4 linked regions of the Macaca mulatta genome follow. The protein of the gene in region 4 purifies or fractionates together with the protein of the main gene of each other region. This does not show direct contact. Links are inferred from orthologs where the notes say so. Each region holds a gene or a part of one and is shown on either strand. Other genes may lie near its edges.

Region 1 (4,012 bases), on a different chromosome or scaffold from region 4:
ACTGCACTCCAGCATGGGTGACAGAGGGAGACTCAGTCTCAAAAAAAAAAAAAAAAAAAAAAAAGTACATCTGTTGCAGTAACAAAGAATTCAACCAGGACTTTCCTGACAAGTTTCACCATAAGCTATATAGGCTATAACTGTGTTTAGGTACTTTCATTATTTCCTAGGCGTTATTATGAACTATGTATTCTATTTCCACAGTTCATTACACTTTTTTTTTTTTTTTCTGAGATGGAGTCTCACTCTGTCACCCAGGCTGGAGTGCAATGGCACCATCTCCACTCACTGCAACCTCCGCCTTTCAGGTTCAGTGATTCTCCTGCCTCAGCCTCCAGAGTAGCTAGAGGTTAATTTTTTTCTGTATTTTTAGTAGAGACAGGGTTTCACCATGTTGGCGAGGCTGGTCACCAACTCCTGGCCTCAAGTAATCTGCCCACCTTAGCCTCCCAAAGTGCTCGAACTACAGGCGTGAGAGCCACCGTGCCCAGCCAATTCATTACACTTTTTAAACTAGTTCCATGTTCATCGTTTTATCTGCCCCTCCCAATTGCCCCCTAAAGGTGAAGAACCCAGCAGACTTCGTATTCCTAAAGTTACGGAAACAAAAGTAGGACAAAAGCTACCGGTGGTGGCTCACGCCTGTAATCCCAGCACTCTGGGAGGCTGAGGCGGGTGGTTCACGAGGTCAGGAGATCGTGACCATCATGGCTAACACGGTGAAACTCCGTCTCTACTGAAAAATACAAAAATTAGCCGGGTGTGGTGGTGGGTGCCTGTAGTCTCAGCTACTCGGTAGGGTGAGGCAGGAGAATGGCGTGAACCCAGGAGGCAGAGCTTGCGGTGAGCCAAGATCGTGCCACTGCACTCCAGCCTGGGTGACAGAGCGAGACTCCGCCTCAAAAAGAAAAAAAAAGCTACCATACTGGGCCCACAATTCAAGTTTCATGAGCCTGCAATTCATGCTCACCAACTGCCACTTCATCCCCTTAAGCTGTCTTCCAGGGCAAAGAGAACTCTAACTACAAGGATGCAATAGTGTGATTGCCAAAACGGCAGCAACGACTTTTGTCAAAACATTTACCCCTTGTGGCCCTGAGAAGATAATGCGCTAAATGAACTGTGGAGTCAAGATAGTAAGGTGTGGGGGAATGCTGACACCCACCTGCAGCCAAGTCAGAAAATTTCTGTTGTGCAACACTGACCCCACACACAGTTCACTCGGGCATTCTCATGACCCAGTTACCTGGCTTGTTTGTGCACCCTGGTTGATGCAAAGAACTCCCACATAGTCCTTTACCTCTGCTCTAAGTATAATTACACCAAATGTACAACAGTTGATTAACATGGCAGTTGATTCTATTCATGACCCTCAAACAATATTGGGAAAAGACTGAGATACAGAATGATTTTAAAGATCAATAAAATTCTTCCCCCTTAAAAAAATCTAATTAAAAAATTAAGCAAAATATTCCATTTCCTAAATCAGAGGTAAAAAGACTTAACTATAGTTCATCTTGTCCTCTCAATCTTTTAATATTAAGCTCAGTTTAACTTCCCTCAACCAGCAATCACTTGTGTCATACCTAACAGTTAATACACAATGCCCAGTTTCTTCCATCACCATAACTGTGACTTCAGGTCCTGGGAAACAGGACTGAACCAGTTCACTAGGATGGCAGTGTATTGGTCCAGAGGCATTCAGATTATAATAATGTATTGCAGTAATTATAGGGCAGTTACTAAATGTCAGACTTCCCTTATTGTATACATATCTGAATGTAATCCTCACAGATCCATCAGGTATTATTATATCCATCACTTGACAAGAACGGGGGCACAAAGGGTAAGAAAACTGCCGAAGTTCACAGAGCAACAAATGACCAATGAAAGACTTGAGCCAGGGCCTTAACGTTAACCACTGCACTGCCTATCCCTGAACTATAATCCCAGCACCATCATTAAACTAATCGCATGACCTTGGGCCAGTCATTTCATACCTCTAGGCCTCCCCTGTAAAAACAGATGCATTAGATGAGTTTTCGGGTGCTTTCCTGCTTTTAACGCCCTGTCCATCTCCAACTGGATGACTCTCCTCCAGAATAGGTGCTGTAACTGTCAAGTTTCTCAACCACTGCGTGTTCTCCTTCTAGTACATTCCCCTTTCTCTTCAGGGAGCTAGGGTCCAGTCTACTCTTTGGATTTTCAAATACTAAACTGTAACGCTAATCCTAAACATTCCCCCTCGGTCTAACACCATCCTTCCCTACTGCTAGGGGTACCCAGCAGGCCCGATTCCACTCCACACTTTTACCCAGTTACTCCAGCCCACCTCGCGGCTGCCAGGCAGCAGGCAAAGAGGCCTAAGAAAGCCCTAGAAGCAAAGCCATAGGAATAAGTCAGCTTTCCCAGAGGTCAAGGAAGGCTGTAGGGCCACCTGCCACGCCTCCCGACCCCGGCCGCGCGGCCTGGGCCCGCTCCCCAACCAAAGAGGCCCGAATTCGGGCCTCCCCGCTCACGGCGGGCGCGTCGGACAGGGCCTGGGCCCTCAAGAGCCAGCCCGACCCCTCAGTCCCCGGCCACGCCCGACCCCTCAGCCGCAGAGGCGCTCCCAGCCCCCGGGGTCCTCAAGGCCCGAGGACGCACTCAGGTCTCCCGTCTCACCTCTAGCCTCCCGGGGACCGCGGGGCTGCCCGTGCCCCTTCCCGCCCGCACACCTGGCCCCGCGCCGCAGTAAAGACAGAGGCGGAGGCGGCCCGACCGTCACGTGCCGCAGAACCAACAGGCCTCGGACACCGCTGCCGCGCGAGCGAGCCCCACCGCACTAAGCCCGGCCCTGCGCCGCCCCTGGCCCCTCAGTAGCCACAGCCGGCGCCAAGTCCCGCCCACCCGCGCAAGCCCCGACATCCGGTTGGCCGGCGTGGGCATCGCTCTACGCACCGTCCCATACGCCCCCTACGGCTATTCTTCGTGGAGTGTGACGATTGGTCGGGAGTGAGGCAGGAAGTGGCTGTTGGTTGGGCGGGAGGTGAGGGGCGGGCCACGCTGGATCGAGAGCGCCGGGCGCGCGCGTCCCGGGGCGGGGCTGGCTTAACAGGCGTTCCCGCGCTCGGTTGCCGTGGTGCCTTCGGGGGCGTTCCAACCCAACCCCCAGCGGCCCTCACCCGTCTGGTTGCTGGAGCCGAGACTTGGGACGCATCGCGCGCCCTTAGCTGACGGGGCAAACGGCAGCAGGCGGGAGGGGTGGGAGTGCGACGATCAGCCATCAAGGAGGGCCGGTTGCAGCGAACGCGGGCCCTTATGGGCGTGAGCAGAACGCAGCGCGGGCGCCTGGCCGGCCAGCCGTGCCCCGCTCCGCGCCGTGTGAGCCGGCGCCGCAGTTCCTGCAGAGTCATGGCTCGGCGCAGGAGCCTGCGCAGCCTCGTCGCCCAGCATAACACACAGTCCAGAGTAACACAATCCGAGGTTATCTGAACTTTCAATTTATGTTTCCTGAAGTGAGATTAGGGGTCAGGGCAGAGGATGAGCCCTGAGATACAGGGATGACAGGATGAGAGAAGGCATGGTGCCCTGGAAAGATTTCAGATACGCCACCATTTTAGTAACCCACTCTTAGCACGTCTTCAGTTTTCAGTATGCTGAGAACCTCACAAAATGGAAGTGGCCCCGGGTTTTTCTAGACCTTTAGAGATCTTGATCTCTTGTCCTCTGTTTGGACACCCAAAGGCTTGAAAACTTGGGTGGAAAACACTAGAATCAGCGGATGTATCACTGATCTCAAAGCCCTCTTGCCACCTGGAAGGGGAAGAAAGGCAGGGTTTGGTGTTTGCATGAGTTAGTATCATCCAACCCTCAGCTCCCCAATTTTTTATTTTTATTTTTATTTTTTTGAGACGAAGTCTTGCTCTGTCGCTCAGGCTGGAGTGCAGTGGTGCGATCTTAGCTCACTACAACCTCCGCCTCCCGGGTTCAAGCGATTCTCCCTCAGCCTTCCGAGTCGCTTGGATTACAC
Region 2 (4,099 bases), on a different chromosome or scaffold from region 4:
TAGAGGAAAGAAGAAGGAGAAAGAAGATGCTGGAAGTCACTTACTTCAAAGGCCTTAGTTTACCAAGCCTGGATAAAAAATACATTCGAACATACATACAGCAAAAAATACATTCAAGGTCTAAGACAAAGAATATTGGGAAAAAAGGAAAGAGAAAAAAAGGATGGGGAGGAAAACACTTGAAAACAACAGCATGAGAACAGAAATCAAGGCGACAACAAAATCTAAGAAAAAATTAAGTCAATGTGGTGGGTGGGGGAGTAAAACGAAGCATTATTTTTAGAAGATTTCAGTAAAGTTGGTGCCTGAACAGCTACAGGAACAAGCACTCCAACACAAAAAAGCAGCCAGCTTGTATCACAACAAGAGAGGGCACTTTTGAGCCCAGCAGCCCAGCTACATGGGTTCCCATGGACCCCTGAAATACCAGTCCCACATCTCAACTGGCAACAAGGATATGCACAGCATTATTGCCCAGCTCCACATCCCCTCCCTACCATTTACCCTGGGTAACAAGTTGAAGGCCACAATGTCTTTTCCTACACTGGCCAAATCTGCTCACAACAGCTTTTCTTTATCCCCTTTTTAAATCAAAGTAGGCTGAACACCTTTTCTCTGTCAGATCTGCTCTCGTCTCTACCCATTCCTTTCCCAGGCAGGGTGGCTTTGACCTGTGGCCCATGCAAATCCACAGTGACAGTGGCCTGGCCTCTCTCCCTCTAGCTGTCAAAGAGCTCTAAGGCACTTGAGCCAACCTCAGCCTGCAGATCACATACAATGCTCTGGCTGGCTTGGCTGCCTGCTCAGCTGTCGGCCCTTTCTCAGCAGCCCCCTGTCCGCAGTAGCCCTCCCATTTTTGACAGCGCTGCCCATGTGCTTGGTGCCTAGTGTGGGGATCTGGGATGTGTTCTTCAACCTCAGACCCTGAGTCTGCAGGACACAGAAAAATGTTCAGCCTGCTCTGCTTTAAAAGGGGAATTTGACAAGTGTAAGAACAGACACGCTGTCTTAAACCCAGCAACTGGAGTGAGAGAGGGGGATGTGGAGCTGGGCGAGAGCTATGTGAGGGCTTTGAAATCTGGTTCTCTTGGAGGCTGATCTCCTGAACAACATTATTCTTAGTGGGATGGTCTCGGAGTCCCCTTTTCCGGGAATGCCTGAGTATTGCGATCCACAAATCACCCTTTTCCATCAGCCTCTGTCCAATACAGAGCAGTGACTCTCCTGCATAACTTCATGCACCGGCAACAGTGACCTCGACCTCCCTGCCTGCCACCCCTAAGGCCGCTCAGGCTGGTGACTACACAATAAAATCAACCCCAGCCTGGCTGTCACCTGGGCCCCCACTGAGGCATGACCTTGAACGGGGGAACTTCCTGCAGCCTAACTCTCTCTCCTATCAAGAAGTGACCACTATGTGGCTGTTCATTCCCTCGGGTCCAGAGGAAGTGGCCAGTGAGGGCACCAACCTCCCCTTAGTGCTTCTCTGCTGGGGTTGGGCACAAGCTCTGTACCACTCAGCTTATGGTGCTTCATGGGGGAGGGCCGCCCCCTTCTTCAGGCCCACCTCTTCGTACTCAGGAGACAGCTGGACCCCTTGGCCTCTATAGAAACACGTCTCTCTCTTAAGGCTTCTGGTGAAGGTCTCCAGGTCGAATGGCCCGTATGAGATGAGACTCAGGCTGCCGCAAGAAACACCTACCTGACCCACTGGCGGTGTCACTCGTAGGTGCTCCCTCACCCTCCTCTTCCCTATATCCCAGGAGCTTCTCCGCTTCACTTCCACCCAGGGTCTTGTAGGGGCGGGGTGGGAGGGGGTGGCTCTGGGCTCCAGTGCGCCCTAAGGGATCCCAGACACCCTGTCCCTGGGGAGCCCCACCCCGCGCAGCGGCGCTGTAGAGGCTATACCACTTCCTCAGGGGTTCCCCAAAATCGGGGAGAGGTGCAGCTCCAGTGCCCCGACTCCTCCAGGCCCTGCGAGGTTCAGGAAGCTCACCGGGCCAGCGGCGGCCACTCGGAGGCAGAGGAGCCAAGTTACTTTGCGATCCAGAGAGCGAAGCCGAGTCTGGCTGGGCGGCGGAGAGACAACTCTAGCGGCTCTCCCCGCACGCTCCGGGCTGGGACCCCGGGGAGGGGCCCGGACGCCCCCGTCCGCCTCCAGGCGCCGACCCCGACCTCAGAGGGCCCCGGACGGCGTCCTCCCTTCTCCCGCCGTCCCCCCGGCGGCCAAGCCGCGCGCAACAGAGACATTTAAATCGCCCCCTCGGGACGGCGGCATGGAGGAGGCCGGAAAGGCGGCGGCGGCGCTGGCCTGGGGACCAGGGCGGTGGCCGCGCGGGCCAGGGTCGCGGAGCTGGGCGGGCACTCACCAGCGCGTGTTGTCGTGGAAATGCTCCAGAACCGCGTAGCCGAAGAACGAGTCGGCGGGGCCCTGGAAGTGCACCGGACGCTGCGGGTCGAGGTTGTAGGCGCCCGCGGGGATCCCCGCGACCACCAGCGCCAGCAGCAGCGCGCGGAGCCCCCCGGCGCCCCTCGGCGCAGCCGGGCCGCCCATCCCTAGCTGGCCGCCGCCGCCTTCCCCTCTGCCCGGCGAGCAGGGCGCCGAGCGCGCGGGCCGCGGGGTCAGCCGACGGCCGGGAAGCTCCCCGGGGCGGGAGCTCTGCGCCTGGACACGGGCGGGATGCGGGCGTCGGGCCCGGCACCGGGGCGCGGACGGCGAGCTGAGCGGGCGCTGAAGGCGAGCACAGGGACGGCCCCGAGCGGTGGGCGTCCTCAGTCCGCCCGAGAAGTCTGCGCGAGCGGGTCCCGGGCCGGGCGGCGCTGGACTGCGGAGGGGCGCGCCCGCAGGGTGGGCGGCCCGGGCGGCAGCGGCTGGACGGCGCGGCAGCGCCCCCTGCGGGCTGCGAGCCCTGCGCGCACTTCCCGGGCGGGAGTCAGCCTCGGGGACCCGCCGAGGCGCCCGGAGCTGCCCCCTCCCCGCCGCGCACGGGGCGCTCGGGTTCCCGGAGATAAAGCTGCTGCCCTCCGCCACTACAGGCTCTGCCGGCCCTAGTGGGCCTGTCTCCCTGTTTTTGTCTCTCTTTCCCTCCCTGTCTCACAACCAGTAAGATCCAAAGCAACCCCGGTGAAAGACAAGTTCAGACTCCAGATTCTAGCCCTGCGCATCCTCTGCTCCTTCACCCAGTTGTGAGATAAGCTGTAGGAGCAGTGCTCAGTAAACGCCCGCTGTTGTTGTTCATAACAATAGTAGCCACGTGGAAGCGAGCAGAGCACCCCTCCATATTCTAGTCACTTGGTCTCATACACCAGTGATTCCCTAAGTGTGGTGTCTGGACCAGCAGCATCAACGTCATCTAGGAACTTGTAAGAAAAAGCAAATCCTCAGGTCCCACTCAGCTCTGCTAAATCAGAAGCTCTGTGGGTTGGAATCCAGCAGGGTCTGCGTGCACTCAAGGGTGTGTGTGTGTGTAATTGTAAATATGCATAAGAGAAAGTCTACCATCTTAACCATTTTTAACTGTGCCGTTTGGGGGATTAAGTATATGCATGTTATGCAACCATCACCACCATCCAACTTCAGAACTCTTCATCTTGGAAAACAAACTTTATACCCTAAACAATAACTCCTCTTTCCCCCAACCCTACCCCCATCCCCACCACCAGCCTCTGGCAACCACCTTTCTACCTTCTGTCTCTATGAACCTGACTACTCAAATTCAAGATTCCTACTGAATTGACTGCTATCATGTTGAAGTCTGACCACACTCTTGTGGTTTCCCTGCCTGTGTTCTCTTCTTTCCACTTTTTAATTCTACAACAGAGTTTGGACAATGGTTAAAAACTTCCTGTTGCCCCCCACCAGCTACTCCTGCCTATAGGATGGAGCCAGGTCTCCTTAGCATAACTTCAAATGGAGGCTCCATCTGTTTCCAGCCCCATTTTATGCCCCTTTCCTGACTCACTTCCCACAAACCCTACAATGTATCCACACACAACTTCTAGCTGTCCCCTGAATGTGTCCAGCAGGGGTTTTCACACACGTTGTGCCCTCTCCAACACTTCTTTCTTCCTGAAATGTGTCTACCTAGGATTTTCAACT
Region 3 (4,138 bases), on a different chromosome or scaffold from region 4:
CCTGGCACACAAGGGAGGGAGGCAGCTTGACCCCCTAGCCCGCTTCCAGCCCTCACCTGGCTTTGTCTTCTGGGATAAGACGAGGAAATCCAGAGGATGTAAGCCTCTACCTTCGTGTCTTCCCCCAAACCCTCGCTATCACAGACGATGCAGGAGCTGTCCGGGAGTTGGGAGGGCAGACCTTGTCAATCCTCCCCCAGAGGGCGGGACCCGACGCGGACGTGGATTGATTGACTGGGTAGCGTGGCTTCGGGGAAGGGCTTCCTCCCCTTTTCTCAGACTAGGAACCCTGGAAAATGGAGAAGCTATGCTAATATAGGGGGGTCAGAAATCCCCACTCTAGAATGCTCTAGAATGTTGGGAGACACCCAGTATGTGAGGCCAGGGACTTTCTGGAACTGTTGGTTCTGGCCCCACCCGACCCCAGGCAGTCCCCAGCTGTCTGCACAGTCGGATGGGGAGGGGGCTTGCACAGAGTTGGAGCCAGAGGAGAGAGCTGGGCTACTGGAGAAGGATGGGGAAACCTCTCTCAGACCACCTTGTCACCGGGCCTCAGCTCTCCGCCCCGGCGCTCAGGATAACTCTCACCTAGCTCGTCCGCTTCTCTAAACCAGAGTGACCCAGGCTGCGCTCCGCCCTGCTCTCCTACCCCGAGTTGGCACGGAGGCGGGGCGCGAGAGGGGGGCCCCAGGCGCCCCGAGGTCTTGCCTTTTCGGCTCTCCGTTTGCGGGGGGTGGGCGCCTTCTTCCGGGTAGGGGCCACGTGGCCCTGGCCGGGCGGGGGGCTCGGCCCACCCCGCGCCGGGCCCAGTGACTCAGGCCGCAGCTGTTCCCGCGTCACATGAGGGAGGCCGGCGGCCACTGGGCGGGGGAGGGGACCGTGGCTGGAGCCCGGGGCGGGGCCGCGCGGCAGGCGGGGCGGGAGCCGGGGGGCGCAGCTAGAGAGCCCCGGAGCCGCGGCGGGAGAGGAGCGCGCAGCCTTGGGGAGCCCAGGTGAGGCCGCGGGGCCCCGGCGGACTTCGGCGCGGGCTGGGAGAGACCACCGGCGGTCCCTTCCTCCAGGGCTCGCCCCAGGCCCGCGGAGACTCGCCCGGCGCTCTCCAGCCGCCCTCGAGCAACTTTGATTCGAACTTCCCTGGGCCCGGGCAGGGTGTGGCGGGGGTGCCGGCCGCACCTTTTTTTTTTTTGGTGGGCGGGAGGTCAGAGCCCAGGGGAAAGCGACTGGGGCAGGGGTCGGGGTTGGGCTGAAGACCGTTTCTCCGGGCTGGGTGTTGGGTGGGGAGAGGGTGTTTGACGCCTGGAGACTGAAGGGCCGAGGGTCGGCGTCAGGCTCGAGCCCCTACCGGCGCCCTCGGATCTATCCTGGGCCCCAGAGGCGGCGGGGCGGGGTCCGGGCTTCGCGGTGGTCGCCCCCACCCCTCTCCTGCGGGTAGAGAGGGGGCTGGGAGACGTGGTTCCGACCGCGGGTTTCCGGGTGGGAGGGGCCGGGAATCGGGGCCGTGTAGGGAAGCCCTCGAGGGCCGGCCAGGAGCCCGGAAACCGAGGTCCCCCTTCGGCCGGTTTTAATCCCCCCGCCCTCCTCTCTGCCCCAGGCCCGGCAGCCATGGCGGTGGAAGGAGGAATGAAATGTGTGAAGTTCTTGCTCTACGTCCTCCTGCTGGCCTTTTGCGTGAGTGGCGAGGGGTCCTGGGGGGCGCGCCGGCAGGGTGCGGGGAGACCTGGCTCCACAGTGGTGAGGGCTGAGGGAATAATTAAGGCAGCTGGAGACCAGATGTGGAAAGAAAGCCAGGGAAAGACAGCGCGGCCACTCCCTCCTCCAGTTTTCCTGGACACCTGAGGCTTGTTTCCACCGAGAATGGCCATCCTGGGTGTGCAGCAACCCCTACCCCCATCCCTCCTTCCTGGCCCTTCCTGTCTGGTGACCCAACCACTTGTGATATGGGGCAGTGGGGCAACCAGCCAACCGCCTGATGCTATCGCCACGAGGCTTCCCTTCGCTCTCCCTTCTCCCCTCTCTTCCTCCCCAACCCCCTCATCCCTCTCCAGTCCCTCTCCCCCTTTCCGTCCTCCCAGCGCTTGGGAGCGAGGAAGGGCTCTGCCCACCTCAATTTGCTCCTGTCCTGGGCTCCTGGCTTGAGAGGCTACTGTTTGTCTAGGGAGGGGCACATCACTCTTGCCGCCTTTTCCTCTTCCCTTCTCCTGGCTTAACTGGCCAGAGGAACCTTAGTCACAGCTGATGCGCGTGGGGTGTGCACTGGAGGATAGTGAGGGAGCAGTTCTGGGAGAGAATTGAGCTGGGAGTCCTGGAGGCCCGTAGAAAGCATTATTCTAGGTCAGAAATACGTGCCTTGGGGTCAAGGCTTTCTGGGAGGTCTTTGAATTTGGTCACGTCCCTGATTGAAGAGCTGGGAGGGGATCAAGGGAGATGGGGGCAGGCAAGGATGGGTCATCCCCCTTCCCTACAGCCAAAGAAGTTCCCTGGAGGTGTGAGAATCTCTCCTCCGGATGGGGTCATGTCTGTGTCCTAGGTGTACCCCTTGTCCTCCACCATGGAGGACCACTGTGTTGTGGATCAGGCCTAATCCTCACCTGCTTTCCTCTTAGGCCTGTGCAGTGGGACTGATTGCTGTGGGTGTCGGGGCACAGCTTGTCCTGAGTCAGACCATAATCCAGGGGGCTACCCCTGGCTCTCTGTTGCCTGTGGTCATCATCGCAGTGGGTGTCTTCCTCTTCCTCGTGGCCTTTGTGGGCTGCTGCGGGGCCTGCAAGGAGAACTATTGTCTTATGATCACGGTGAGTGGGAGGCGGGACTAACATGGGTGGTCTGGGACTGCCAGAGCAACTTGGTTGGTGCTCAGGAAGGTGGGTGAGGTGAGGTGGGTGGGTGAGGAAGACCTTTGTGAGTGTCCAGGGACCGGCTATGCCAGAACGGGCCCCTGTAATGCATAGACTCCAAACCTGACTCCTGTCCTTTGCTCCTGCAGTTTGCCATCTTTCTGTCTCTTATCATGTTGGTGGAGGTGGCCGCAGCCATTGCTGGCTATGTGTTTAGAGATAAGGTAAGCAGGGAATAATGGGAAGGGCCTGCCTCAGCCTGGTCTGGGACCCAGGTGCTTGAATTCTGACGGCAACAGTGCTCCTCCGTACCCTCAGGTGATGTCAGAGTTTAATAACAACTTCCGGCAGCAGATGGAGAATTACCCGAAAAACAACCACACTGCTTCGATCCTGGACAGGATGCAGGCAGATGTGAGTGGGGTTGCTGGGAGCAGGGGTGATGGGAATAGAGAATTCTCATCTCCAAGGCTGGGTGTGGTGGCTCACACCTGTAATCTCAGCACTTTTGGAGGCCAAAACCCTTTCTCTACTAAAAATACAAAAATTAGCCAGGTGTGGTGGTGAGTGCCTGTAATCCCAGCTACTCAGGAGGGTGAGGCAGGAGAATCGCTTGAACCCAGAAGGCAGAGGTTGCAGTGAGCCGAGATCAAGCCACCACACTCCAGTCTGGGCAACAGAGCAAGTCTGTCTCAAAAAAAAAAAAAAAAAAAAAAAAAAAAAAAACAATTCTCATCTCCATATTGATGGTGAAGGTTCACTTAACTCCCTTCTCCATATTTCTTCCCTACCCCAGTTTAAGTGCTGTGGGGCTGCTAACTACACAGATTGGGAGAAAATCCCTTCCATGTCGAAGAACCGAGTCCCTGACTCCTGCTGCATTAATGTCACTGTGGGCTGTGGGATTAATTTCAACGAGAAGGCGATCCATAAGGAGGTAGGGAGGAAACTGTGTATGGGACTTGGAAAACCTGGGAAATATTTTAGAAGGCAAGAGACCCAGGATGGAGGTGGACAGCGTCAGGGATGGGGAGGGGATCTGGAAATGGTAAGGGTGGGGTGAAAGGTACCGGGGCAGGGAAGAGATTGATGGACCAGGGGAGGGGATTGGGGTGGGAAGTTTCTGATGGTGCTTTTATCGTTTGTGCCTGCCACCCTTCAGGGCTGTGTGGAGAAGATTGGGGGCTGGCTGAGGAAAAATGTGCTGGTGGTGGCTGCAGCAGCTCTTGGAATTGCTTTTGTTGAGGTAAGAGATAACCCTGAGAGAGGGCTGGGACTCAATCCAGGGTGCCTGGAGGATAGGG
Region 4 (3,500 bases):
AAATTTGTTATTTAAGGATAATACTGGTGGGGCACAGTGGCTCACACCTGTAATCCCAGCACTTTGGGAGGCCAAGGCAGGTGGAACACCAGAGGTCAGGACTTCAAGGCCAGCCCAGCCAACATGGTGAAACCCCGTCTCTACTAAAAATAAAAAAATTAGCCTAGCGTGGTGGCAGGCACCTGTAATCCCAGATACTTGGGAGGCTGAGGCAGGAGAATCGCTGGAATCTGGAAAGCAGAGGTTGCAGTGAGCTGTCATCACACCACTGCACTCCAGGTTGGGCGACAGAGCAAGACTCTGTCTCAAAAAAAAAAAAAAAAAAAAAAGAAAAGGAAAAGAAAAAAGGATAATATTATTCTAGGCATAGGACTGTTGTGAGGATTAGAGCTGACAGGCTGATTTCATATACTAGAGTGCATTTGCCAAATACAACCACCCCATACAATACAGAGTACTGACTCCCTGTGATAGATGAGAAGTGAAGTGGCTCAATGCTGTTCTGCTTACTAAGTGGAAGAGGTGGGATTTGACCTAATGTCTAACTAATTGCAAAGCACATTCTCTTTTCACTACAACATAGCTGCTGTTCTATATCACATGACTTATTTTACAGTCTTTCTAAGAAAAACGCGAAGTTAACACACAAAAAGAAAAGCCACAATAGCGATATTTAAAGCCAGACTTAAAAAAAGACCAGCAATAGTGATAAGGACACACAGTGCAGTAAAAAAGATAAAAGTTCACATGCAAAGGCAGAAAGTGAAGGAAAATACGAACGGCAATTTAGAGACCAGCTTTACGTCCGTAGTTTGGATTCTTGAAATTATTAATAGGACTCTTGTAAATCGGATTTTCTTGCTAAAGTAAAAGAAATAGTTTCTAATGATTTCATCAGAAAAAAAAAGGACATTTATAGTGTTCAAACACTATAAAGGGAATTTTTTTTCTATTTCTACCCTTCTGCAATTTATAATTTAAAAAACTGATAATTTTAAAAAACCCAAGGAAATTGTAGTAAAGTGCAACTAACTACAATTCATTTACAATTTAAAAATACTGAAGATTGTCATTGCTTTCTTGTATCAAAAGATGGATACACAAAGGCCAACATTTGGTTACCCCACCCTCTGACTCCTTATTTCAAAGCTCTAAAAATGCTAACATAAACTTTCAGTCACTTAGGGCTTTTAAGATTTTTATAAGCTAAGGTTTACTGAGATACAGTTTTCATAGAGGAACACACATCTTTTTAAAGTACATAGTTCTGTGAGTTTTCAAATACATAAATCTACCCACAATCAAGATCATCCCCAGGAAGATTCCTTACGCCCTGTTGTGGTCAACCCTTTCCTCCGTTCCAGCCCCTAGCAACCACTGATTTTTGCCCCTACAGTTTTGCTTTTCCAGAATATCTTCTAAATGGAATCATATTGTATACAGCAGGGGTGTCCAATCTTTTGGCTTCCCTGGGCCACATTGGAATGATTGTCTTGGGCCACACATAAAATACACTAACAATAGCCGATAAGCTTAAAAAAAAGTCACCAAAAAAAAAAAAACAACTTACAATTTCTAAGAAAGTTTACAAATTTGTGTTGGGGCCACATTCAAAGCTGTTCTGGTCTGCATGTCCTGGCCCACAAGCTGCAAGTTGGACAAACTTGGTATACAACCTTTTGAATCTGGCTTTCATTGAAGGTTGTTTTTTTGTTTCTTTTTTTAAAGAAAGAAACAGCTTTCCATTGAATAGCTTGCTACACAGATAACATTATTTAGGATTCTGCCCCACATTAGATGAAAAGGCAGATTTAGGATCGAAACTATTAAAGAAATAAAAATACTGGCCACAGTAACCAGAATATACATGCTTATAATCAATGTTTTGTTTCAATGGGATATATTTAGGATGCTTTCTGTTTTTCACTAAATGCAAATTCCTTGAGTAACTTTTGGGGGAATAAAACACTTAAAAATGACTTTAATGATCACCCTGACAGTTAATATATAAGTCTTAGGAGTATTACATTTACTTTATGAGCCACTTTGCTTTTTAGATGTTTTGTAACTTACTGTGTCCCATTTGGCATTCATTTTCTCCTTTTCAAATTTAGCAAACTCCCTTCTGTCATGAATTATCATTAAAAGCTTCCATATCAGCAGTAATGCAAGGCCAATAAGAACAATTCCAGCAACCACACCAGCTACAATTGGAATGATGTCTGGACCAGTGGGACACTCTGGAAAATAAGGAGGTTATAATAAGTACCACAAAGCTGGGCAGTATCTTATTAAAAAAAAATATAGGAATAAACACCCAAGAGAGTGAATGCACACTATCCCAAAGAATCTATAAAATAGCTTTTAGAACTAACAAGTGAGTTTACAAGCTTGCAGGATACATAATCAATGAACAAAAATCATGTACTTTTCTATATATATAATTTATTTCCACATATTGAAAACAGAAATTTTTAAACAGTAATATTTACTATAGAATGAAAAAGCATGAAAAACTTACATATAAGTCTAACAAAATATATGCAAAATTTGCATGTTAAGAATTACTAAACACTGATAAAAAGAAATCTTTCAGACTGAATAAATGGAGAGATACTCCATGTGCAGGAGTTACAAAACCTAATACTGTTAAGATGTCAATTCTTCCCAGTTTGATCTATAAACTCAATAGTATCCCACTCAAACTCCTGGCAGAACTTCTGTAGCAATCAGCAAGCCAATTTTAAAATTAACGTGGAAGGCAGTGAACTAGGGGAAGTGTCTCAAAAACACTTTTGTAAAATAATAAAGTTGGAAGACTCTTATTACCTGCTTTCAGGGCTAGCTATAAAGAAAGCTACAAGACCACGTGGTATAGCTAACAGATAGACACTCAGATACATGGAACAGAATAGAGTCAGAAACAGGCCTACACATGTAAGGTCACCTGATTTCCAACAAAGGTGGAGAAAGGACAGTCTTTTTTCAACAAATGCCCCTAGAACAAGTGGACACTGATATGAAAAAAACTGAGCCTTTTGTCACACACTAAGAATAACTAAAGATGAGTTACAGATCTAAATGTGAAACCCCAGAAACTATAAAACTTCTAGAAAAAAACACAGGAGAAAAATCCTTAAAATCTTGGGTTAGGCAGAGTTCTGAAAGACAATGTAAAAATAAGAGCCACAAAAGAAAAACTTGGTAAACTGTACTTAATCAAAATTAAAACCTGTGGTGTTCAAAAGACACTTAAAAAAATGAAACGATAAGGAGGCACAGGCTGGGAGACAATATTTGCAAAACACCTAGATGATAATTCAAAACACTACAGGACTCTAAGAACCTGGCAGCTTCTTACAAAGTTAAACATATGCTTACCATATGCTCCAAAATGCCATTTTTACTATTTACCCAAGAGAAATGAAAGCTTATGTTTACACAAAAACATATACACTAAGGTAGAAAATTCTAAAGAATCTACAAAAAGGCTACCAGGA

Evidence for each region. Proteins that work in one complex are often made in the same cells at the same time.
Region 1: the proteins of ITGB1 (region 4) and CANX purify together in Homo sapiens (affinity purification with mass spectrometry; 3 studies listed by BioGRID and IntAct, with this or other methods). This does not show direct contact. The link is inferred for Macaca mulatta from reciprocal best matches to the Homo sapiens genes ITGB1 and CANX.
Region 2: the proteins of ITGB1 (region 4) and ITGA9 purify together in Homo sapiens (affinity purification with mass spectrometry; 3 studies listed by BioGRID and IntAct, counting the BioPlex papers as one, with this or other methods). This does not show direct contact. The link is inferred for Macaca mulatta from reciprocal best matches to the Homo sapiens genes ITGB1 and ITGA9.
Region 3: the proteins of ITGB1 (region 4) and CD63 purify together in Homo sapiens (affinity purification with western blotting; 3 studies listed by BioGRID and IntAct, with this or other methods). This does not show direct contact. The link is inferred for Macaca mulatta from reciprocal best matches to the Homo sapiens genes ITGB1 and CD63.

What each region holds. Positions count from the first base shown.
Region 1 is NC_133411.1:188,686,871-188,690,882, reverse strand, and holds the start of CANX (calnexin), read right to left. Parts: upstream 2,801-4,012; 5' UTR 2,665-2,800; intron 1-2,664. UniProt on the Homo sapiens protein: Calcium-binding protein that interacts with newly synthesized monoglucosylated glycoproteins in the endoplasmic reticulum. It may act in assisting protein assembly and/or in the retention within the ER of unassembled protein subunits.
Region 2 is NC_133407.1:99,705,681-99,709,779, reverse strand, and holds the start of ITGA9 (integrin alpha-9), read right to left. Parts: upstream 2,801-4,099; 5' UTR 2,555-2,800; coding exon 2,370-2,554; intron 2,110-2,369; exon of another isoform or gene 1,703-2,109; intron 1-1,702. UniProt on the Homo sapiens protein: Integrin alpha-9/beta-1 (ITGA9:ITGB1) is a receptor for VCAM1, cytotactin and osteopontin. It recognizes the sequence A-E-I-D-G-I-E-L in cytotactin. ITGA9:ITGB1 may play a crucial role in SVEP1/polydom-mediated myoblast cell adhesion.
Region 3 is NC_133416.1:62,876,435-62,880,572, reverse strand, and holds the start of CD63 (CD63 antigen), read left to right. Parts: upstream 1-1,338; intron 1,339-1,460; coding exon of another isoform or gene 1,461-1,602; coding exon 1,603-1,668; intron 1,669-2,603; coding exon 2,604-2,792; intron 2,793-2,983; coding exon 2,984-3,058; intron 3,059-3,152; coding exon 3,153-3,248; intron 3,249-3,630; coding exon 3,631-3,771; intron 3,772-3,996; coding exon 3,997-4,080; intron 4,081-4,138. Other genes in the region: uncharacterized protein LOC144332662, read right to left, coding at 646-1,338, 1,461-1,604. UniProt on the Homo sapiens protein: Functions as a cell surface receptor for TIMP1 and plays a role in the activation of cellular signaling cascades. Plays a role in the activation of ITGB1 and integrin signaling, leading to the activation of AKT, FAK/PTK2 and MAP kinases.
Region 4 is NC_133414.1:34,292,960-34,296,459, forward strand, and holds part of ITGB1 (integrin beta-1), read right to left. Parts: intron 2,241-3,500; coding exon 2,074-2,240; intron 862-2,073; coding exon of another isoform or gene 787-861; exon of another isoform or gene 781-786; intron 1-780.